6 linked regions of the Nothobranchius furzeri genome follow. The main gene of each other region encodes a partner of the protein of the gene in region 5 in a complex. Links are inferred from orthologs where the notes say so. Each region holds a gene or a part of one and is shown on either strand. Other genes may lie near its edges.

The links.
Region 1: arid2 (region 5) and smarcc2 share a complex: the UniProt entries of both Homo sapiens proteins name them as parts of the SWI/SNF-B (PBAF) chromatin remodeling complex. The link is inferred for Nothobranchius furzeri from reciprocal best matches to the Homo sapiens genes ARID2 and SMARCC2.
Region 2: arid2 (region 5) and smarcd1 share a complex: the UniProt entries of both Homo sapiens proteins name them as parts of the SWI/SNF-B (PBAF) chromatin remodeling complex. The link is inferred for Nothobranchius furzeri from reciprocal best matches to the Homo sapiens genes ARID2 and SMARCD1.
Region 3: arid2 (region 5) and pbrm1l share a complex: the UniProt entries of both Homo sapiens proteins name them as parts of the SWI/SNF-B (PBAF) chromatin remodeling complex. The link is inferred for Nothobranchius furzeri from reciprocal best matches to the Homo sapiens genes ARID2 and PBRM1.
Region 4: arid2 (region 5) and smarcd2 share a complex: the UniProt entries of both Homo sapiens proteins name them as parts of the SWI/SNF-B (PBAF) chromatin remodeling complex. The link is inferred for Nothobranchius furzeri from reciprocal best matches to the Homo sapiens genes ARID2 and SMARCD2.
Region 6: arid2 (region 5) and smarcc1a share a complex: the UniProt entries of both Homo sapiens proteins name them as parts of the SWI/SNF-B (PBAF) chromatin remodeling complex. The link is inferred for Nothobranchius furzeri from reciprocal best matches to the Homo sapiens genes ARID2 and SMARCC1.

What each region holds. Positions count from the first base shown.
Region 1 is NC_091743.1:50,353,316-50,356,179, reverse strand, and holds the end of smarcc2 (SWI/SNF complex subunit SMARCC2), read right to left. Parts: intron 2,779-2,864; coding exon 2,617-2,778; intron 2,531-2,616; coding exon 2,469-2,530; intron 2,387-2,468; coding exon 2,266-2,386; intron 2,196-2,265; coding exon 2,032-2,195; intron 1,947-2,031; coding exon 1,812-1,946; intron 1,702-1,811; coding exon 1,320-1,701; intron 653-1,319; coding exon 588-652; 3' UTR 501-587; downstream 1-500. UniProt on the Homo sapiens protein: Involved in transcriptional activation and repression of select genes by chromatin remodeling (alteration of DNA-nucleosome topology).
Region 2 is NC_091743.1:58,867,579-58,871,618, forward strand, and holds the start of smarcd1 (SWI/SNF-related matrix-associated actin-dependent regulator of chromatin subfamily D member 1), read right to left. Parts: upstream 2,801-4,040; 5' UTR 2,758-2,800; coding exon 2,572-2,757; intron 1-2,571. UniProt on the Homo sapiens protein: Involved in transcriptional activation and repression of select genes by chromatin remodeling (alteration of DNA-nucleosome topology).
Region 3 is NC_091743.1:66,073,032-66,077,158, forward strand, and holds the start of pbrm1l (polybromo 1, like), read right to left. Parts: upstream 2,801-4,127; 5' UTR 2,676-2,800; intron 2,383-2,675; 5' UTR 2,352-2,382; coding exon 2,211-2,351; intron 2,089-2,210; coding exon 1,991-2,088; intron 974-1,990; coding exon 826-973; intron 131-825; coding exon 1-130. UniProt on the Homo sapiens protein: Involved in transcriptional activation and repression of select genes by chromatin remodeling (alteration of DNA-nucleosome topology). Required for the stability of the SWI/SNF chromatin remodeling complex SWI/SNF-B (PBAF).
Region 4 is NC_091756.1:35,532,469-35,535,968, reverse strand, and holds the end of smarcd2 (SWI/SNF-related matrix-associated actin-dependent regulator of chromatin subfamily D member 2), read right to left. Parts: intron 3,045-3,500; coding exon 2,947-3,044; intron 2,740-2,946; coding exon 2,604-2,739; intron 2,523-2,603; coding exon 2,400-2,522; intron 1,527-2,399; coding exon 1,425-1,526; intron 1,341-1,424; coding exon 1,287-1,340; 3' UTR 284-1,286; downstream 1-283. UniProt on the Homo sapiens protein: Involved in transcriptional activation and repression of select genes by chromatin remodeling (alteration of DNA-nucleosome topology).
Region 5 is NC_091741.1:59,776,360-59,780,358, forward strand, and holds the start of arid2 (AT-rich interactive domain-containing protein 2), read right to left. Parts: upstream 2,801-3,999; 5' UTR 2,582-2,800; coding exon 2,490-2,581; intron 2,367-2,489; coding exon 2,273-2,366; intron 1,383-2,272; coding exon 1,285-1,382; intron 1-1,284. UniProt on the Homo sapiens protein: Involved in transcriptional activation and repression of select genes by chromatin remodeling (alteration of DNA-nucleosome topology). Required for the stability of the SWI/SNF chromatin remodeling complex SWI/SNF-B (PBAF).
Region 6 is NC_091745.1:65,024,658-65,027,961, reverse strand, and holds the end of smarcc1a (SWI/SNF complex subunit SMARCC1), read right to left. Parts: coding exon 3,256-3,304; intron 3,111-3,255; coding exon 2,935-3,110; intron 2,813-2,934; coding exon 2,678-2,812; intron 1,669-2,677; coding exon 1,284-1,668; intron 1,057-1,283; coding exon 931-1,056; intron 817-930; coding exon 725-816; 3' UTR 501-724; downstream 1-500. UniProt on the Homo sapiens protein: Involved in transcriptional activation and repression of select genes by chromatin remodeling (alteration of DNA-nucleosome topology).

The sequences.
Region 1 (2,864 bases), on a different chromosome or scaffold from region 5:
AAATCCAATTTGATGGATGCTTCAAGTTTTTTAGCGAGACCTTGGGAAACATTTCAAAAGTGCTTTTCTTTCTTCCTAACATACGTGTATGTTTTAATACGTGCATGTATGTTTTAATACATACATGTATGTTTTTATACGTACCTAAAACACAAAGATGTGAAGCTGGAGACTTCACGAGCCATGAAAGAGTGTAACAGGAAAACAAAAGCAACAACGTTCAAAACACAAGATGACTCTTTTGTCTTTCTTGGGTGCTGGCATGTTGATAATCCATGCTGACCAGATCTCCTGGGGTGAGTTTATGATTCTGACTTGACAGTTGATGTCCAGTCAACCACGAGGGATGAAAAATCTATTTTCCTCAAGAGTCGACTTAGTTTGAACAGTCAGGAGAGGGAGTTGACTCGTGTATCTTATTTTTCTGTCACACATTAAATTTCCTGTTGGAAAAAAAATACTGAACATGAAAACTGTTTTTTTTTTTTTTTTATGTCCGGGAGCTGAATACTTCATTTCAGATGATACAGGCAGGATTTGGAATGGTCAGTCATTTGGATTTTCAGGTTTTTTCTTAAAAAGTATTCTCACTGTGGAGGAGGAGCAGGAGCTGAGGGGTGGAGAGTTTCTCCTTGGAGAGGGGTGCTGGGCTCTGTGGATAAAGCAGGAGAAAATGTCTGAAGAAGTACTCTCAAGTACCAGGCAGTAGTTAATCCTTAGCGCTATAATACGTATAACGAAATGTATCGGGACTCCCGGTAACACGAGAACTTCTAGATTTAAAACTACTTTTCCTGCCTGAAAATTATTGACACGTGCAATAAAGGGTAAAATCAATCATCGCCATGTCTGTTTACTCCAAAGATCTTGTAAGATTTCCTGTCTGACTGGAGAATGTTTGTGTGTGAAATCAGACCGTGTCTAGTGTTTAGTTTTTGCTGTGTTGCCGGACACCAAACAGATACTTGATTAAAATCCTGCTTTCTGCTGGGAAAAACCTGTCACAAAAACAGTTTGGGGTGAATGCTCCTGACCAGAGACAGTGGGAGGAGGATAATAAAGGGAATTAAACACGTGCAGAACTTGCAGGTTAAAAATTTTTGTGGCAGCTTGGGAGAAATGGGAATGGTGGGTGGCACATGATTGAGTGGATTATGAGGGAATGCCCTTTTGTTTAGTAATTTGCCTGCAGAACCTGTTTTTGCTGAGCGGTGTTTGTTGTTCTTGATTTAGTTCTGTGTTATTTTCCTGTTCAAATTGTTCACCATTGTTTTCTGACATAAATGCTAATTAAATACCTGCTGTATGTTTAAACTCACCATGGAGTACAGGTGTAGTGCTGGAGCTGGAGTGAGGGGCTGGAGCTGGGACGGGAGCTGAGGCCTGGCTCGGGGGGCAGGGCGATGGGGTATGAGTCCCTGCAGGAGGTTGGGCTTCAGGAGCCGGGGCAGAAGAGCTTGGTGGTGCAGGGCTAGGAGCCGCCTGTGATGCTGGTGTGCTGGGAGCTTGTTGCCCTGCAGTCGGAGCTTGGAGCTGAGGGCCTGAGGAGGCCTGGTTGGAATGAGGACCGCCGGTCTGACTGTGCTGCTGGTGCTGAATCTGCTGGAAGTGCTGCTGGCGAGCTCTCATCTCAGCGTATTTCAGCTGCTCCATGTGAAAGGACTGCCGGTCGGCCAGCAGCTGCTGCCGCTGGTACTCAAGCTGGAAGCAAAACAAACACGTCTCAGATGAATTAGTGCTACTGCACATCCGTTGTTCTGGGAATAAAACAGGTCATTTATGTCCAATAATTCCCAAATTCCATCACTTACAGCCTCCCTCTCTCTGTCCATGATGGTTTCCAGTTCTTCAAAGTGTCGCAGTTTAATCTCAAGCTTCTTCATTTGTGTCTCCACCAGCAGAGCCACCAGAGATTTGATCTTTCTCTCCTCCACTGCAGCCAGATGCTGTTTACACAGAGAAGGAGAATTGGATTAAAGAAACCCAACAAACAAACGGTGACTGACAGAGCAGCGGTAAAATGAACTTCACCTTGGCTTTGACAGCAGCAGCAGCTAAAGCAGAGGCGGCAGCAGTTGCCAGGTTTCCCTCTCCCACATCACGCTCAACCTTCGCCTTCCTTTCTCCTTCTATCTCTCCCTCTCTCTGCCCCTCCTCTGTTCCCTCTTTTGCATCCTTCTCCTTTTCTCCATCACCTGAGAGAAGAAAACATGGTTTTATTATATTTTTCCTGACACGTCTGTCTATGGCCAGGTCCTCTCATACCCATCTCAGACTCGGCTTTGTCCGCCTCCCTCTCTCCTTCGGCTTCTCTTCCCCTTTCTTCTTCCTTCTTTCCATTTTCCACCTGTTTCTCTTCTTCCTCTACTGCTGTATCTTTACTCACCTTAATAAATAAAAAAAACAGTTAACAACTAATAAATAAGAGACACAGCTTTCATTTAGTTTGTTTTGAACAAGCATCCTACCTTAGCATCTCTCTTCTCCTCACTTGATTGGCTGTCACTCTTACTTTCATCGCTGCTTTCATCTGAAGAGAAGACAAGTCAGAAATGTAAATTCTTCCTGTATCGTTGAAGCGCTCTTTCCCTAGTTGTGTCCATCTGTCCATCCTACCGGGTCTTTCTCCCTCCTCCAGGCCGGTGCCTGCGATGCCACTACCCTCCAGCCCATACAGAGGATCTTGTCGGCCGCTGACTCGCGCCGCTTCTTCCACCCGCCGCACGTGAGCCTCCACAAGCGCCGCGGGGACCTCCTCCTTCATACGAGAAAACTCCTCTGAGAGAAGGAGCAACAGCTTGAGGTTATTGAAGCAAAACATCCAGCCCTTGGTTAGTTAGTGGTCTCATAAACAAATGACCCAG
Region 2 (4,040 bases), on a different chromosome or scaffold from region 5:
TACCAGATGTACAGTGAGCACATGACTCGTGAGATCTGCCCTGCGCTGAAGTCGTACAGTTTGAGCTGAAGCTGTGTTACGAGTGAAAAAGTCGCACAGTGTCCGCCCAGCTTATTATAATGTTCACTGTAATGCATCTTGATGTTCTTAACAAATAAATTAAATCAAAAATATTGGTCAATAATGCCAAATATGTAAATTTGTGTTTCAGTCATTTTTATACTGGCTTAAAAATACTTCATTAATTCTACTAAGCAGGGGTGTAGAACGCGTTTAAGAGGGCCAGCCCAGTAATGGTCTTGGACCAAAATAAAGGGGGCAGAAAGTCAAATAAAGGGGGAAAAAGAAGATGTTTTTCCAGACGCCAAGAAAAATTAAATGCCAAATCCACCCTGCAAAGTGTGTCACTGAGAGTTTAAAACAGAAATTATTCTTGTGCAAATATTGGTGTATTCACCTTTAATACTAGTTATTACACTGCAGCAGTCGCTGGACTGGTGCAGTTCAAAGTGGAGTGCATCAAATAAAACAATATTAACATAAAGGTGAGACGTGTCATAGTCCCCCCCCCCCCCCGCCAACACCACCTCCACCACAGCTGGAAAAATTCCTAGGGGAAACACTGTCCCTGATGATGTTAGCAGCTAACGAGGGGCAATTAGCTTAAAGAGGCGACTGTCCCCCTTTGTTCTCTGCCACGACGTGCTTCCTTTTAAGGCGTTCGTTCATCAGCATTATCTTCTTGTGAAAGAAGTCCTACTTTGCAGACTTTGCACTGTACATGCTTATTTTTGTAAAATGCTTTCAAACTTTGTGCTACATTGCAGGTCGCCATGTCTTGTTTTTCCGGTGATGCAATGGCTCACCCGAATGGCCGCTACTGCGCACGTGCCTCGAACAGAAAGACCGCAAGCAGCAGTGGTACTGCTGAAGCAGGTAAGATTAAAACAATGCGTAGAATAAACAACGTAGACTATTAAGTTTATTGATGACTATTTTGTTTGTTGATGTCATCATGACAAATCGACCAACCCTGGCAGGACAAGCTAACACTTTTAACCCTCCCACTGTCTTAATGGGTGACCCCACGAGGAAAGTTGACCGTTGAGCAGAATTGATTGTTTATCCCTTGAAGTCCACGTGGCAGTGGTGAGGTGGTGGTCACTAGTCGCCCATGCCACATGGACCCAAGGGATAAACCATCAACCCTGCTCAATGGTCAACTTTCCTCATGGGGTCACACCCATTAGGACAGTGGGAGGGTTAAGGTAAGGCAGACTGAAGCTTTCCCTGGAGCAAGCAGGAGGGAAGCCCCTAGCGCCGACCACCCCTAGCCCTCTGCTACTTGTCCATCAAAAGGACACGCCCCCAATCATTCATAATTTCAAGCTTTTATTACATCTAAACAGAAGAGTTACATAAATTCCCCCCCCCCCCCCATAAGCTGCACACACGTTGACTGTTAAAAAAAAGGTTGCACTACATGAAAAAAATAAATTAAAAAAGCTGCACAACACAACAAAGTGATGATGAACTGCATTGCTAATGCATTTCTTAATCAATTTTTTTCCCCAATTCGTTGTTGCAACAGTAGCTCAGGAGGTTGAGCTAGTTGATTAAATGAATGATCAAAACCTTTAACTGATACTCCAATTACATGAGTTAAACCTATCAGATAGTAGTTTCAACAGACATCTGCATATTAAAAGTTAAATTGAAACATCAGTCTGCACAAACACACAAAACATTACCTTTGTCATTTAAAGAAAAACTTTGCTCAGCTGGCTTGTGTCCTTTGGTGGAAATATTTTGACTTTCTTGATCGCGGGACTAAACTATTATTTTAGTTTTATTGTAACTATAGTACATCTGGAAAACTTTTGTTCTTTAACTCATGATTAAGTAGCACTAGTCTGATCTGAAAATCAGAATTTAGAATAAAGGTGAGGCTTGAAAGTTTAACTAGAATATTTTTAAAGTACAAAATCCATCAGTGACAAATTATTTCCAGTATATTATTAGATCAAAAGCACAAACTTCACGCATTAAAACGGAATTTGAGGCTTTATTCTTATTTAGTTTTTTCCGTCTGGAAAACTGATGGTTTCTTATCAGTGTAAACTTTTCATTCAAAAGCAGACTTTTGATTTTAAGACATCTAATAAATAGAAAATCCCAAACCTAATCGAATTGGGACTTTCAAACGTAACAAACTCACTTTTTGTGAATTTTCCTACACTACTCGAGCCCTCTCGGAGTGCTTTTATTCAAACTACAGAGCAAATTAGCAACGTTAGCATGATGAGCTAACTAGCTGCTTACTAAAACTTTAACGTTTGCGGGCGGGATGGGTTAGCAAATTCAAACACACCGATGGTAACTCAAGGGAAGTGGCTAAAATAAGTTTTGGGATAGACTGACTCTATTCAACCAGCCTGAGAGTTAGTCACAGCTTTGGTCCTCATGGAGAAACAGAAACAACGTTGGCCAGTAGCAACAAAGGAGCGATGAGGGGCTTTGTTCTAGCGAACAAGCTAACGCGTCAGCAGCAAACATGGAACGAGAACTCACCGGATACCCAGGCCCGGGCATCGGAGAGCGGTACATGTGGTTCTGCGCGGCTGACGAAGGCCCCATTCTTCCAGAGGGAGTACCGGGGCCCATACCTGGTCCTGCACCGGTTGCTGGCGGTCCAGGGCCCATTGCTCCACCGCCACCACCCGTCGGAGCAGATTGAAACCCCCCTCTGGCCGCCATCTCCTCTCTGAGTGTCGCCGCCGGTGGAAGCACGAAGCTAACGCGAGAACAAGCTCAATGGGGAGAGTTGGAGATGAAACAGCGCTATCTGCTGCTCACATCTGGTAACAAATAAATTAGCTTTTCTATTGAGATGCTGATGATAGTCTTTCAACCATCCATGAAGCCTGATAAATAAATAAATTAGAAGCGTTGTAGCCCAAAGTGGTGCAGAAAACAACTACATGCTTAATTTTGCATTTTTAAGCATACTAAAAACTTATTTTTATTGTTTTTGTATTTTAATTGGTGTGTTCAATTGATCCAAATGTTGTTTCTGGAGCTCTGAAAAAAGTGTCCACTATACAAATTTAGCATCATTTCAATTGCTTCCTGCAAGACCAAAAATTTAATAAAAACCCATTCTAACTTCGCTCACATATCTGTAACATCTATGACATCTACAAAGTCTGCAGAATATTTTTAAACCAAAACAACATATTCTGGAACTTTTACTGAAAATACCGTAAGAAAAGAGATTTTACTTTAAAGTAGAAGAAAAGCACAGATAAGAATGGTATTTTGAGTGATTTTGTCCCATTTGTCTCATAAAACTGAAATAAGCTGCATTAATTTACAAATTAATCACTTTGACATGCAACACATGAGCATCAGCAGATGCGTAACTTTTATTCAACGAGAAAATACATGCTGAAATGTGAAAAATATCAAAACATTACAGACTGCAGTAATTAGTTCTTTTTTAATTTTTATCAGAAGTTCATGAACTGCAAGTCGCACCATCTCCCTCTGTTTAGGAACATCACACAAATTATACACCACATCTCCTTTCATCACAGCAGGGGAACATAAATTAGTGAGCCAACTGCTTCCGTGTCTGAGAGGTGATCTGAATCTGCGGTGCCTCCATGAGGTTTTTCAGTTGACTCATGATCCTCTTTGAATGCTTGTTGATTGTATGCAGATGCAGAGATCCTAAGATGAGCAAAGTTTTAAATGTTTTGAGCTACGGTCCTGCAAAAATTCACAACAGTTTATGTATTTTTTCCCCCAACTTTTGATGATGTTACACTTTCTCTGTTCAGTATGGAGAATCGGCAGCACAAAACATGGGGCACCATTTGTTTGCATAATCTCTTTGTGTTGGATCAGAAACAGATTGCTGGCTGCCCGGGGGGGGGGGGGGGGGGGGGCATGTGTTTTTGGACATCTAAAAGCATCTACACTGTAATTATAATTTTCATTTTGGGCTTTATACCTTGGTGCACGAACAGGCTTATCCT
Region 3 (4,127 bases), on a different chromosome or scaffold from region 5:
CTGGATTATCCATCCCATCATCACCGTCTTCGTCTTCCTCGTCTCCCTCTCCGGGCTGCACAAACTCGTTCCTTGTTTGCAGATAAACTTCCCACAGCTTTCGTGCAGCATGATACTCCTCGCCGTCACTCTGAATCATCAAACGTGAAGAGACGTGAACATTCGAATGAATCTGGACATCAAAACTAAACACCATCATAAACCTTCATACCATCAACATTGTTTAACACAAACATGAGCAGCAGTTATTGACAGTTTTCTAAACACAACCAATGACGGATCAATGCATTTATAAGCTGCAAACACTCAACTCGCTGACCATCAACAAACTACTAATCAACATTTTCTCGCTCAACGTCAAACAATCATCTGTGCACATCTAACGCCTTCAGGCATCAGCGGTCCTTAACCCTGGTGTCCCTGCTTCAACACACCTGATTTTAATCAGCATGTGATTAACAGGCTTCTGCAGAGCCTGATGAGCTGCTTAACGTGTGATTCAACTACAGAATCAAGCAGGTTGGAGCAGGGAAACAACTAAAACATGCTGGACACCAGCCCTCCAGGATCAAGATGAAGTGACCTGGTTCTATACCCTTCGTTTTACCCAACCTGAGTATAATAAAATCACAAAGATTGTCATGTACATTTTATTTAAAATAAATCAGGCTTCGTTCAGCTCTGGGTTCCTGCTGTTCTGTTTAAAGTTTTAAAGTCTGGTAAGAATCAGAAAAACGATAAGTTATTGATTTAACTGGGAACACTGAACCTTTGTGTAGTCAGAAGGGTCAATTTAATACAAGCAAATGTTTCTTTTCTCTTTACCTTGTAGAAGGATCGAGCATTATTAAACATGAGCTGAAAATCTGCAGTAAGCTGCTGCACATCAGTGTATTCTTCTGACTTCAGCTTGGACTGGATTTTTGTCATGTCAATCGGCTGGGAGACCACATCATAATAATCAGGCTGGTTCCTGAAAAATAGAGACACCCACATTTATCAACATGGGTCGTAATATAAAACAAACACTGATTCTAAACTCAGTTTTACATTGTTTAGGATCTGTTTAACTTATTTTAATGCTATTAACAGTGTTTCTCCTCATCACTTAGGATGCCATTCTTGGACTTCAGCTCAGCATTTAACACAATCATTCAAGCTGATAATAAACTGGGGCTTCTCAACCTCGTTTTACTTTTGGACCAGGGACTTCTCACAAACCATCCCCAGGTGGTGAGACTTAAAAATCATACTCCATCCGAGCTGGTTCTGAATACCGGTGCTCCTCAGAGCTGTGTGCTCAGCCCAGACATCTTATTTCTTGTGAAACTCAAGAGAGCAGCACCCCAGCTGCTCTGGTACTTCTACACAGCCATGATTGAGATAATCCTCTCTCTTAACATAATTATGTGGTATGGGAGCTACACTGTCCAGAACATGAAGGACTTGGCCTGGACCAGCGGATCATGGGGAGCCTGCTGCCAAATCTGGACTCAATACATGCCGTCAGACTGGCAAGGAAGGCCAGTTGCATTGCTGCTGATCCACCTCACCCAGGTCATATACTGTTTGTACCACTGCCATCCAGAAAACAGTACAAGAACATCAGTACTGCAACCTCCAGGTTGAAGGAAAGCTTCTTCCCCAGAGCTGTAAAAGCCATCTGTCCATGTTCCTTCCTATCTGCTGCCACCCCCACCCACCTGCACTGCAACATTATTTTATATATGTTTATTCTGCTACTGTAACGGTCCTTATTTACATCGAACCCATCCCACTGCAATAACCGGATTACAATACTACAATGTGTACAATTTTCTGTTATTATTATTGTATAAATTGTTAGTATTTGGCTCAGTTTTTTACTTTCAACAAGGTAACAAATGGCATGACTATGTTTAAATAAACATGCTGAGTAGCAACTCTCTTCATGAATGACAAGTTTATATATAACAGTACCGTTTATTATTAGGTCCTAATATTACAATACCTCCTCTTCGGAACCCGAAGGAAAACTTCACAAAGTTGCCTCCCTTGATCGTCTTTGAAATCTTTGACAGCATTAAACAGTTCGTGGCAAACAGCAATCTAAAAAAGTAAGTGGTAAAAGATCACGATTAAAGCTTTTTTAAGGTAATAGTTGCAAATCCCACACACATTTAGATTGTTAACATTCAAAAAGAACCTCGCAAATAAAGGTGAACATTTACCGTATCAACTGGAGGGACATTAGATACCTTTCTTCTTTTTCTTCCACTTCCAGGAGTGGAAGAGGAGGTATCGTCGTGGTCTCCCCCGCTCACACTGCTGCAGGGAGAGGTGGCTCGTCTTCGTTTGGAGTTCGCTGACATCGTTGAATGGATTAACAGGCTAGCCTGCTAGCTACATAATAGAGTGAAATGAAATAAAAAGCAAAAAACAGACTTTGGATCAGGTCAATTCACTTGAGAAAAGCTGTTACAATTGACACTTCCATCCATACTAAAGCCGAAACGAGAACTGGAACTCATTAGCAGGTTCCCGTATCTAGAATGTATGAAACAAAGCATACTAGCGATGGACAGTTAGCATCTTGTTCTCCCTGACCTGCTGCATTTCTTAAAACTCGTGGAGTTCCATATAAGCGTGCATGCATGGAAAATAAAAAAACAGAAAGGTTCAGGTTGATATCTTACCGATTCGCAGCAAATTTTATTGTGATTCCCTGAGCTAAAATATGAAAAGGCTAGCTGGCTAGCTTGTGTTCTTCGAAAACTCCTACCCGGAAGCTAAGGTTGTTGCCATTTGTGACAGAAATGAGCACTCCGTGGACCTGCTGCCCCCTACAGGTTAGAAGTGGTTTTGCCCATTCACGTAATTGTTATTCTCAAACCTGCTAAAGAAAAATATAAAAAACGTATCGATAAAAACTGTTTTTACGAACAGTTCCTAAAATAATTTATGACATCTAAATGAACAAATTAGTTTTAGAGGCATTTCACTGATATGTTTTCTATTGGTTAAGCGTTGTATTTAAACTGATAAATAAATCGTACAACATACAAAATACTTTAAAAAGATGATAACCGGTCAAGTCCTCGAAATTCTCCCAGACACAAAAAGTTTTTTTTTAATGGGCCTCTTAATGCCAATGCTAATTACTACGTTTATAGCCAGTATGAATAATAATAATGATGAAGATATCACCACTTCTACTACTACTACTACTACTACTACTACTACTACTACTACTACTACTACTACTACTACTATTACTACTTCTACTACTACTACCACTACTACTTCTACTACTACCACTACTACTTCTTCTACTACTACTACTACTACTACTAATAATAATAATAATAATAACAATAATAATAATAATAATAATAATAATAATAATAATAATAATAATAATAATAATAATAATAATTATTATTATTATTATTATTATTATTATTATTATTATTTCACCAGGATAAACCACATTGCTTAGAAAAGGGACCTGGCACAAAATGTTCATGCAATTGCATGCCCTTCCATTCTAAATAAAAAAAAATTATTGTGCGCATACTTATTTCATAATCATGCTAATTTTGAATTGCATTCACTCAAACTGACCAAAAAATAAAAATAAGTAAACGTTGGGGTGAACAACTGAAAATCTTGATATTTGATTGATGTTGGGGTGAGCAAACCAAAATTGGTGCATTACCCCAAAGTCATCATATTTGGGTGACGTTGGGGTGAAAAACCCAAAACCATGATACTGATGGTTTTGGTGATGGGAGATCACTCTAAAATCATGACATACCACTATTCCCACGAGCCGATGATTTTGATGTGACATTTGTGGGAATGCATGCTCCTAAAGATATACCGTAAATCCTCTAATACAGGCCTGGGCCTGTATTTGACTCAAGCTCATCAAGCTCCAGGCCTTTATTGGAAGGAGGGCCAGTATTAGAGGCAGGCCTCTATTTCTATTTGAGCAAAATGAACTAATGGTTCGCTGGAGTTTTTGACAATTAATATCGCGCCCACATTTTCAAAGTTAAACACATTTCTTTTAACAACAGTAGTTTCTGCTTCAGCCATCTCCCCCCTCCCCCTGCGCAGCGGCCGCAAACTCACTGATGCGCCTG
Region 4 (3,500 bases), on a different chromosome or scaffold from region 5:
TTAGGAAGTACACATTATAGAACAATTAAAAATACTATTTTTGATTTTCTGCCACACAAGCCAATACCACGTCTGAAGCATTAAACAAGAGTCACCAGACAAGCTGAGACACGGCTTCCTAAAGACAGTTGGTTGTATCAGTCCCGGGCTTTATTTGAGGAGCGTTGTTTGAGTAAAACCAGACATTCCTGTTGGAACTGCTGCCCTCGTGAAGCATCTGAGCGCAGCGACCAGCCTCAACATGCACAGCTCCCTGATCCAAGCACACACCTCAATAGCTCAGTGCAATATAACGTATATGTAATGTAGGTTTCTGTTTCAGATATAGAAAATAACCAACATTTGCAAGTATATTTATTGTGAAAAACACCTCAAATGTAAAAAAAGATTTTTAAAAAAGCTTTTGAATCAAAAACATGCAAAACACGGAAGCTGTACAAAAGTACTTGTACTACACACTTCTCAAATTCAATTAATCAACTTCACAAAACACATTTTGGCACAAATACACGGAATGTTTCATAAGACTGCTTGTAAAAAAGCTTTTTCCCCATACACACACCATTTTTTTATCTGACACCACAGCTGCATTCCTGTTTATAATCAATAGCAAACCTCTACAAAGGCTGTGAAAATTCATTTTTGTGGTCCTCAAACAAAAAAGTAAATAAAAAAAACATGTAAACCTTCAACATATAAACAAGAGCTGCTAAAGATCAGAGGAACAAAGAAGGCTGTATAAAAACAGCTTCTCATAAATCACCACAGGCATGACGTATTTCCTGATTTGATGTTTTTATGTATTAAAAATATGACCTGAAAGTGTTTTAAGGGTTTATCTTAAAACTTACATAAAATATAGATTCAAACACTCTTCAAGGACATTTCAATAGGCATGTAGTACAACTACATATATATGGGATAAACTGATTAAGGATATTTTTTAGACATCAGGCACTGTCAACATTTAAATGTTACAACTTTTAGAAAATCACACAAAACATCAGCGTGGGAAAGCAGAATCCTTTACAGGACCAGTGTTCAAACAGTTTTCAGCATTTTGTACCGCGAGTAAAAAAAAAAAAGAATAAAAAAGACAAAAAAGTAAAAATGATTTGAAAAGGCTCCAAATGAAAAACCATCCAAGGCAAACACGTTACAAAAGGACACATAAATCATCACTTTGGTCCCATTAGTAAATAAGTATGGCTTAAGCTGCGATCATGGCTGTCTCTATTCCAGTTAAACAAAAGCAAACGCAGGCAAACTCCTCTGGAATCTGGCCTTTAGGTCAGTCGGATCCCCAAAACTTGCTCCAGCTCCTGCCTTCTCTGCTGCACCTGAAACGGAGAAGGAGTACCTCTGGTTCAGATACAGATGACTAAAATGTGCTGTTCTGAGCTCTGGGATCTGTCTTCACTTACTTTGGAGTAAACGTATCTGCCCACTGCTTCTGGGACCCAGGGCGCCTCGTAGAACTCGGTCCTCCTCTCCTCCTCTGGGTTTCCGCTCACGTCTGTCATCAGCTGATTCAACAGAAATGCAACAGTGAACACAACAACACCAACAAGATGCCCCAAACATGCCTTTCATTTTCTTATCTACAACTGCATCTTGCTGAGATGTTGCTTAAGGCTCAGGAGGTTTGTAAAGCTACAGGAACACAGAACAAAGCTGTGGCTTCTGAACGAACCATGAACCATGTCAGGTGAGGGAGGACAGCTTTGACTTCTTAAACAAATTTAAAAAAAACAAGGTGGGGTGAAATCTGTGTTGACAGGAACCCAGACATGTAGATCCTTCTGATCTGATCATTTCTAACTGCTGGCTGGAACATTTATCTTTAGACGTGTTTCGGCTCGCTTTAGGAGATCAACCCTCCACCACCTGCAGCAGAATGCTTCCTGATTAGCTCTCTGAGCACATGCCGGCAACAAGGTGCATCCGTTTACTGGCTAAATATGTTAGAATGAGTTCTGTGCTATTGTGTCACATTATATAATGTAAACAAACGTAAGAATGCTGTAATCCCCATAATGAATATCACCTTAAGCAACATTTAATGATGAGTAAACACTGCAGATTCCAGTGGGACAGATTTGAACTCTTATGGCGAAGGAGTAAAAAAACAAACCCAATAAAACCTGACTTCCAGGTTAAGGAGAATGTTCAGAAAACTAAAATATTTTTGCCGTCTAAGCCGTAAAGGAAATCTAAACGAGTCAAGATCTAAACACTTGATTTAATCAGATAAAAAAAAACATAGGAACTTCATTTTACCCTGTCTCTGCTATTTAACTCAACTTCATTTCATTTTATTTAGTTTGTCCTGAAATGAGGGACTAAAATAAGACAAAAGAGTCACGATAACATGGTAGTTGCAGCAGACATTTCTTTACCTTCAGATCTCTGCTCTGAGACTTCAGCCAGTCTTTGATGAACTCTTGTGGATTATTGCTGAAGCTCAGCATGAAGTCTCTCTCAGTCTTGAGCTGGTTGATGTACTCAATTGTTTCATGAATCTGAACATAAACAACAAAGGAAGACGTTTCAGGTTTCTACAGGCTCGTTTCATTTTAGTATGAATCCAGATTAGACCCGACCTTCATCTCAAGAGTAGCGATTTCCTGTTGGTTGGTGGTGGAGGACAGAAAACTGTTCATCTGAGCTTTCAGAGGGTCGTCCACCTCCACGTCAATATCATAGCAGGCTGTTTTCTTCTGGTCTGTGGGATCCACGCTGCTCAGGGAACAAAGGAGTTGGTGGTGACTACAGGACGGGTTTATACCTTATCTCAGCTCAGAACCAAATAGAAAGTGTTTCTAAGGTTCTACGTACATCTGTGTTTATTAACTGTAGGAGCAGCTATGAACCTTATTCACCAAGTGTGGTGACACTGTGTGTCTGAAAGCAGAGATTGTCTGAAGCTGTAAGATGAGACCCTACCTGATGATGTGGTTGATAATAATAGGGTCAGGATGCTGCAGCAGGCCCGCCAGCTTCATGGGGATCTCACTGAACCTCATGCGTGGACAGCTGAAGATCTGAACACAATTTTATTAAACCGCATTAGCACTTAAGACAGGTGATGTTAAAAAACACTGATAACTAATCCATCAGAGTTCATATCCAGCCCTCTAAAGCTAAGACCAGGACTACATGAGTCCTGTTTCCATTTTAGGAGTTTAGGGGACGGGGAGAGCAGCTGTGTGAAGTAAAAAGTGCCGTTCAATGACCAGAAGAAGCTGTTTTTGACAAAGCAGTGTGGATAATGGCGTTGTGGGGGATTTCCACTGCATTATATGCGTTGAACCTTCAGAAACTGCAATTTCAAAGCAGCATTAATGCTGTTTGCTTTCTTTCACTTCCACTCATCTTCACCAACAACTCTTCCCATTTTTGAAAAGGCCAGTTATTTGGCGAATACAACCAATCAGCGTGAGTTAAAAACAAGCCCGCTCAGCGGCTCTACCAGCCGAGTACCTACCCCAGCTCAGGTA
Region 5 (3,999 bases):
TACTTTACTGAAATGATGTTAAGAAGTAACCAGGGCAGACTCAATGATTGATATCTGATAAATGCTGCAACATAAACACCCAACAGGGCCTGAAAAGTGCTATAAATAAAGCTACCTACTGATACAAGAACAGTATTACCTATTTGTGGTGTTTGTGTAATTTTATTGACAAAACAATGACTTTCATGTAAAATTAAGATCCGTTCAAATATGAACTTCACTCAGGGTCTTGTCATTTCTGGTTAAAAATACAAGCAGATTTCAGACTAGCTGCAGGTTGCAGGAGCTATAGATTATAAACTTAATACCTAATATTTCTGGATTCCCATCAGCAGTGTAGCCAGTTTGTTTTTTGAAATACTTCAAACCAGTCCTCCCCTTCTGACCCAGTGGTTTCTAAAGTTAGGGCCAGGACCTCAATGTGGGTCTTTTTGATCTCCACAACCCACAAAATTACTATAATGGATATTTTGCCACAACTGTTCTATAAAAAGTTGTCATAAATTGGCCAGAGATAGTAAAATAGTGGACAGTTTGTGTTGTCCTTATGTCACTGTAGAGTTTACACTTTTTTTTAACCGTTGGTGGCTGTGGTGACGAGTCTCAGCTGCTGTAATTTTGTGTCAGAAGCTGAAAAGTTTACGAAACTCTGCTCTATAGATCCATCAGAGCTGTCTGAACTTCCGATGAGCTCCAAGTCTCATCAGCTGCCTTACAGTTAGTCATAAAATTAGCTTCATCCTGTCACCGCTCACTGACAATATATAAAGAAACAATGCTGGCCTCTTCTATCACCACTTGTCTCTAAATGTCTACAAGCATTTCTCTGCTGCACAGGTGCAACCTCTGCAGGGCAGGTGCTAGTGATGGGAACACTACAGTGATGGAAAAAACACTACAAACCACAAATGCCAGCTGTTGGAAAGGGGGGGGGGGGGGTAAAACAGACTCTGCTCAATGCAGCTGACTGACTTCGAAGTGTGCATGTGATACAAGTAAGAGCATCCAGAACCATTCAACATGGCATCAACAAGAGCCCCCGGGCTAAAAGTGTCAAAACGCCCTAAAACCAATGTTTTCAAAAGCTTTGTTTAAAAAGACAACTCAGCCCGAGTGTTTGCTTCTCTGGTGGATTAAGTAGTACTCAAACCTCCTCTGCAATATTCCACAAGTGCAGCTTCCAAGCAGAGGGAAGCAGCGAGGCTGCATCCAGCTGACTGCATCTTAGCATTTGTAAACACTTCCCACATGCTACCTGAGAGGAGAGAGTTGCATGCAACTTACCGCAGGTAGTACTGTTTTAAAGCGAATGCTGCGTTGGAACAACTCCTGGGAAAGTTAAACTCCTCTCCAAGTTCAGCCCACTGGTTTTTATCAGAGACCTGAGGAGAGGATGATAAAAGGGTCTGCTGGTTAGCAAACACCGGTAACAACAACACAAAGAACGGTTACAGTGAAGGCAGCTAGCTGCTCCCTCTGCTACAGGTTCTCCATTGAGACAGTGTCACAACCTCTTATCAATAACTTTCTCAAACTGCAGGAAATGACCCAAAATAGATAAAGCCAGCATAACCTTTAGAAGTTATGTTTAAAATAGTCTCTATATTGTTATGTAATAGCGGGTATTTGTTATTAGCATTTAAAATAACTATTTAGAACGGTTTTGTTACAGTTTAGGCTAGTTAGCTACACAGCTAACAAGCTAACTTGATTACTTGCTAATTGAGCGTTTAAACCGCGCGAGGCAAACTACAACAAACTGCCGGGGCAGAAAGCGCTCGCGGCGAGCCGTTGGGTTGTGGAGTCAGTGTATGTACCCGTTTACTGTGTTCGTTACATGGGCCTGTGAGGCCTACATTCTGTGGCCAGCCATGAAGCCGAAGAAAGATGGCTATGGCGAGAAATTAAGCTTCCCTCCGGGTTAAAACTGCTGGCGAAAGCCCGGGCAGCGCGCCGCGTTCAACGCGGTGCTCCCCGAAGCCGGGCTCCGTGCCGATAATCGATGGTAAACGTGCCCGCTAATTTTGAGTCGCTCCAACTGCACTCTGACTCCGAGCGCTTTGGACTCTTCAATTCATACCACACAACAACACAAGCCACCACATTGCATAGAGATACATGGTAAACTAGCACAAGGCCAACGCCGAGCCACTGGAACGGCTTTCTGGAGGGTGAGACTTGTCCCGGGTTAACCGCTCAGAGTTGTGGAGTAGTCCGGTGAGAAGTCCACGGACGGCAAAGTGGAGAAATGACACTTTTGGTTCCCACTCACCTTAGCAAATCCACCTAAAGAGACGACTCTGATGTAGAGTGCATTCAGATCCAGCTCTTTCCCACCCACGATAGGAATCTTTTTGAACGGCGATCTGTTGAAATAACACATGAAATAAAGCCACACATGTTTAAATTACACTTTTGGGAACTCGCGCCTTCATTGCAATTTGTAGTTAAAGTTGTATTTCTTGGAAATAAAGGCACCCCAATCTCACCCTCTGCTTTGGTGAAATTGCCGCAGCTCGTCCAGGAAAGCCTGTCCTTTCCTTCGCTGATCTAGTAGATTTTTCCCCGTCGAATTTGCCATTGTTTTTGCATGCAAAAACGGTAAAATCCCACTTCAGTTGCTTCCTAAGACACCAAGGATCCCATACTCCGCCGGCGCGCAGTCATTCGCCAAGCTGAGTGTTTAAAAAGTTAAAGAAATAGCTGATAGCAAAGAGAGCGGCAGCTCGCTAATAAAGACTGATGCACACAGAAAGCAAACCCGATACAAGCACGGACTAAGTTCCAACGAGCGGTCACAAATACGACCGATTTACCGGTGGATTAGAAACGCCATGGCTGAAGGTGTTGAATTAATGCTTTTGGTCGCGGCTGTGTTCGTTTGGAGTGGTTTGACAGTGTGGTACGGACGCAGCTCCGAGGCTATCGCACACACTGTAGAGCGGCAGAGGGATCCAGTTCTCAGACAAAAAGATGTGAAGGCCGCGGAGCCCGGCCTGCCATGCGTGCAGCGCCCTCCGTGTCCACCGGCGGTACTGCACCCTCCAAGGTAGAGCGACTGCTGGAACAATAGACAGTTTTCTGTTTTAGGGATCGTCTGACAATTCATGCCCGCTGCCTAGAAAACGGGTCAAAGGGTTCTTGGAAATGTCCCGTGGGGGGAGGGGAAAAACAAATTAACCCAGCTTCGTAATATTCCAATTAAGCGCATAATAGTAGCTACCTAATTGTTTTAAATATAAAAGTGCGTGTCAAACATCGGTGTCAAATTATTATTTCAGCAGTATCAGTAGGATAGTGATGCACGTGTCATAATGGTGCTCAATATTTTTTATAGATTTTTTTTATTTTAATATATACTTAAAAACGAATGAAAGAAACTTACTTTGCGAACTTTTGACTGCAAAAGATGAGTTGCATATTAATTATTGTGTTGTATGAAGTCATATATTATGTGCCTAACATATTTTATCCTGTATAACTTGTTTGAACTTTAATATTTTTGTTAAGTGGCAAAGCTTAAAACATCTACACACACTGATTATGTAATAACATGCTTGTAAGTTACACATTAATTGTACTGCTTTTGTAATTACATAAACTGACCATACTATTTTGTGTTATACGTAAATATGATTATTTTTTAATTTATATTCGTACAATCTGTTGCTGCATGGGTAAGCGGATGTGGGAAGCAGCTGGTGTCCCTAGCTGTGGCCGCGTCTACAGGACTTTTATCTGAAATTCCCCCTGGTCCCTTTCTGCTGTAACTGCCGAGCGGATATCTTCTTGATGGGGTTACATTCAACCATTACACGTACCCCTTTGCTCAATGAAAAACCTGTCACAAAATGGCGGAGACGTACGTTAGCAGACCCCATTTTGAGGAATTGACACTAGACAGCGGAACAAGTTCATGTCCTTGCTTGTGGTTTTAAAAACAGCGCTATTTTTGCTGTCAAACTGCGGTACGCCGGAGTTCAGCTCGCGCCTGTTTGG
Region 6 (3,304 bases), on a different chromosome or scaffold from region 5:
TGACCTACTGGGGACCTTTTTGGCCTTTTTGTTGAATTTCTCAAGATCAATAGGATCAACGAAATTGAAATGTATTGATAAATAAATAGGCACACGCTGCCATCGACCCTCCCTCTGTCTAACACACACATTCACATACACACACACACACACACAGATCTACAGTGTATCATTTAAAGAAGAGCGAGAGGTAGATTCTCCATCAGAACAAGGGCAGGCTGGGAGTTTCGGCTCAGCACACAGAACCCTGAGGGTCTGTCCGGGCCTCTGGTCCCTCTAGCTCCCCCTAGTGTTTGATTTGGAGGAAAGGGAGGACCAGATTTTAAGGGGTTATCTTTTTTTGGTATACAAGAAAAGGCTACAGTGTCATTTACACAACAAAAAAAAAAAACAAACAAAAAAACAGCATTGTTACTGTAAAGAATGAGAAACAATATTTTCTGATGATTTCTGTCTCCTTGTTTGGTTTTCTGGCTACAGCCTCCCGTTTGCCCAACAGAGCAGAAACAGTGTTTATTACTAGATGAACCTCGCCGCTGCGCCCTGAGAGGAAGTCTGCATGTGTGTTTGTGATGTCTGGGTCACTTTTGCTGATAAACCCTGAGTGTGAGTGTGTGTGTGTGACGGAGGGTGACGTTTATGGCAGCTTTAATGGGCAAATGCTGAGTCGTCAAAAGGGGGGCAGAAATTCAGAGATGTGTGCTTTTGTGCGTCTGTGTGGGTCTTAGTTATCAGTGATTCGTCCACTTGGCTGTGCTGCGGGACCCACTGGAGCTGGAGGCAGCACCTCGGGCTGTGCAGGAGGAGGACCGGGGTCTGCAGGGACAGAGAGGCCAAATTTAGATGAAGGAAGACCAAAAGTGGTGGTTTGTGTTCAAAGGTTCAGAACTTTGGTGTGTGTGTGTGTGTGTGGGGGGGCTCTGTACTCACACATGCCGTTGGGGGCTCCAGAGTGACGCGGGGGCATCATGGGAGGCATCCCACCTGGAGGTGGGCCGGCGGAGGGGGGTCCAGGCATCATACGTCCAGGCATCTGCTGACCTGGTTCTACTGGTCCTGCAGTTTTGATTAAGAGACAAAGATCATGAAGAGACGGCTCAAATTAAGTAAAACATTTGCTTCATGTTTTAAATAAGCATTTATCAGTAGCTTTGCTTTAAGACAAATATTTACAAAGTTTTAGTCAAGATTTATTTGAACAAACAAAATTTTATTTAAAAAAAAACATGCTAATATCTCACAGCTACTTTTTTCTCCACAGACTTTATTCTGCTTAGTCTCACCCGTCTGTCCTGGGTGGTGGGGGGCCATAGGGTGGTGGCCCATTGGCGGATAGCCTGGGTGCATTGCAGCGCCTGGTGGGGGACCGCCGTGGTGCGGATGTGGACCTCCATGATGGGGAGGAGGTCCGCTGTGGTGGGGTGGGGGTCCTCCATGGTGTGAGGGAGGTCCTCCATGGTGGGGTGGGGGTACGCCGTGGTGCATACCTGGTGGAGGAGGGCCCGGGTGGGGTCCTGATCCAGGGACCTGTCCTTGTCCTTGGGCCTGAGCGGCAGCGGCAGCAGCTTGCTGCTCCATCTGCTGTCTGGCCTTCATCTCAGCGTACTTCAGCTGCTCCATGTGGAACGCCTGTCTCTCTGTGAGGAGCTGCTGCCTCTGAAGTTCCAACTGCACACACACACACACATTAATGGATGAAGAGGAGTTAAAGACCAGGAAGCAGAAACATTACAAAGACCACAACCAAATAACCCAGAGCTCAGTCAAAGCAGCATTCTTCAAGAACCAGGGGTTTAAAAAATCTGTGTGTGTGTTTGCGTGTGTGTGTGTGTGTATAATAAATTCATTCTGCTCCATTTTCACCACGCTGATGAAGCGGACACCTAAAGGCAACTGAAAGCTCAGACTTGTCCCGTGTTTCTTTGTGGATCCTTTCAGCCTGAGCGTTTACAGCAGCAGCCATGTTGGTTTCCGTCTTGCTCCGTGACAGATTCCTAAAACGTTTCTTTTCGAGCAGCTTTTGCAGCTGTGAATGGGCTGAATTAGGCTTCAGTCCAGATGCTGCCACAAGAAAACACAGTTTTACACTCTCACTAGCATCTCCAGGGACACACACACCAGCTAAATCAGGCTTTTCCCTGGCAGAGCAGCAGTTTAAACAGCATCACTAAGTAGCTGCTCAGCTGTAGATAAAACCCTTTTGGCTTCCTCATAAAGAATTCATGTTTCTTATAAAGACTTGGAGCTCATGGAAAGCAGCTCCACCACGAGGGAACATCTGCTACTGACTAAATATTTACCGGCCACTTGATCAATGAAGCAGTCGCAGGAAAGGGAAAGTTAGACGGCGGGTCACTTTTTGGCATTTCCACAGACAGAACCTAAAGGAACTAAGGTTTGGTTTTCCTAGGATCAGGATATTCTAACACTAACTAACGCTTTCCGATAATAACAGTAACGTCCCACAGATGTGGTCAAGCAGCTAAACAAAAAGGCAGAGCTGCTTCGATTCTAGTTAATCTCTCATTAGCTTGACTCATGTGGCTGATGATAATCGGATGATGTCTGGCAAAGGTGAAGCAGAAGAAGTGTTTGAGCTGCACTGCATTCATTCATGAACGTTTTAAAACTACAAACCTCTGATGATGCTACTAAAACAAACTCCGACTCAACTTACAGCTTCCTTCTCGCGGTCCATGATGGTCTCCAGCTCCTCGAAGTGCCTCAGCTTGATCTCCAGCTTCTTCATCTGGGTCTCCACCAGCAGAGCAACCAGCGACTTGATCTTTCTTTCCTCGACTGCTGCCAGGTGCTGAACAGAAGATTAACGTGAACATAAGCATCTCAGTAGCCCCTAATTTAACTCTGAACTGTTTTCAGTAGAAACTTCTCTGGAAAACAAACACGGATGAATGAAAAGTGACATCTCCTCACCTTGGCCTTGGTGGCGGCGGACGCAAGAGCAGCAGCCGCTGCCGTAGCGATGTTTCCCTCTCCGATGTCATGTTCCAGCTTTTTCCTCCTGTCCTCTCCCTCCTCCATAGCCTCACTTTCCTCCTTCTCCTTCTCCTGATCAGGAGAAGTCTTCATTGGTTCCTCTTTTTCCTTGTCTGAATAGGGAAGGAAACATTTTTAACCTGCTGTCAGAAGACAATCAAATATTTTTTTTCCTATTTTAACTGAAGTTTTAAAAGATGAATACAGAAAAACAAATCCCAGCACAAGCTGGGATTGTTTTGTAAAGATCACCATTACCTGCAGAAGCCGTTTTAGACTCCTCTCCTTCGCTCTCCTCTTCGTGCTC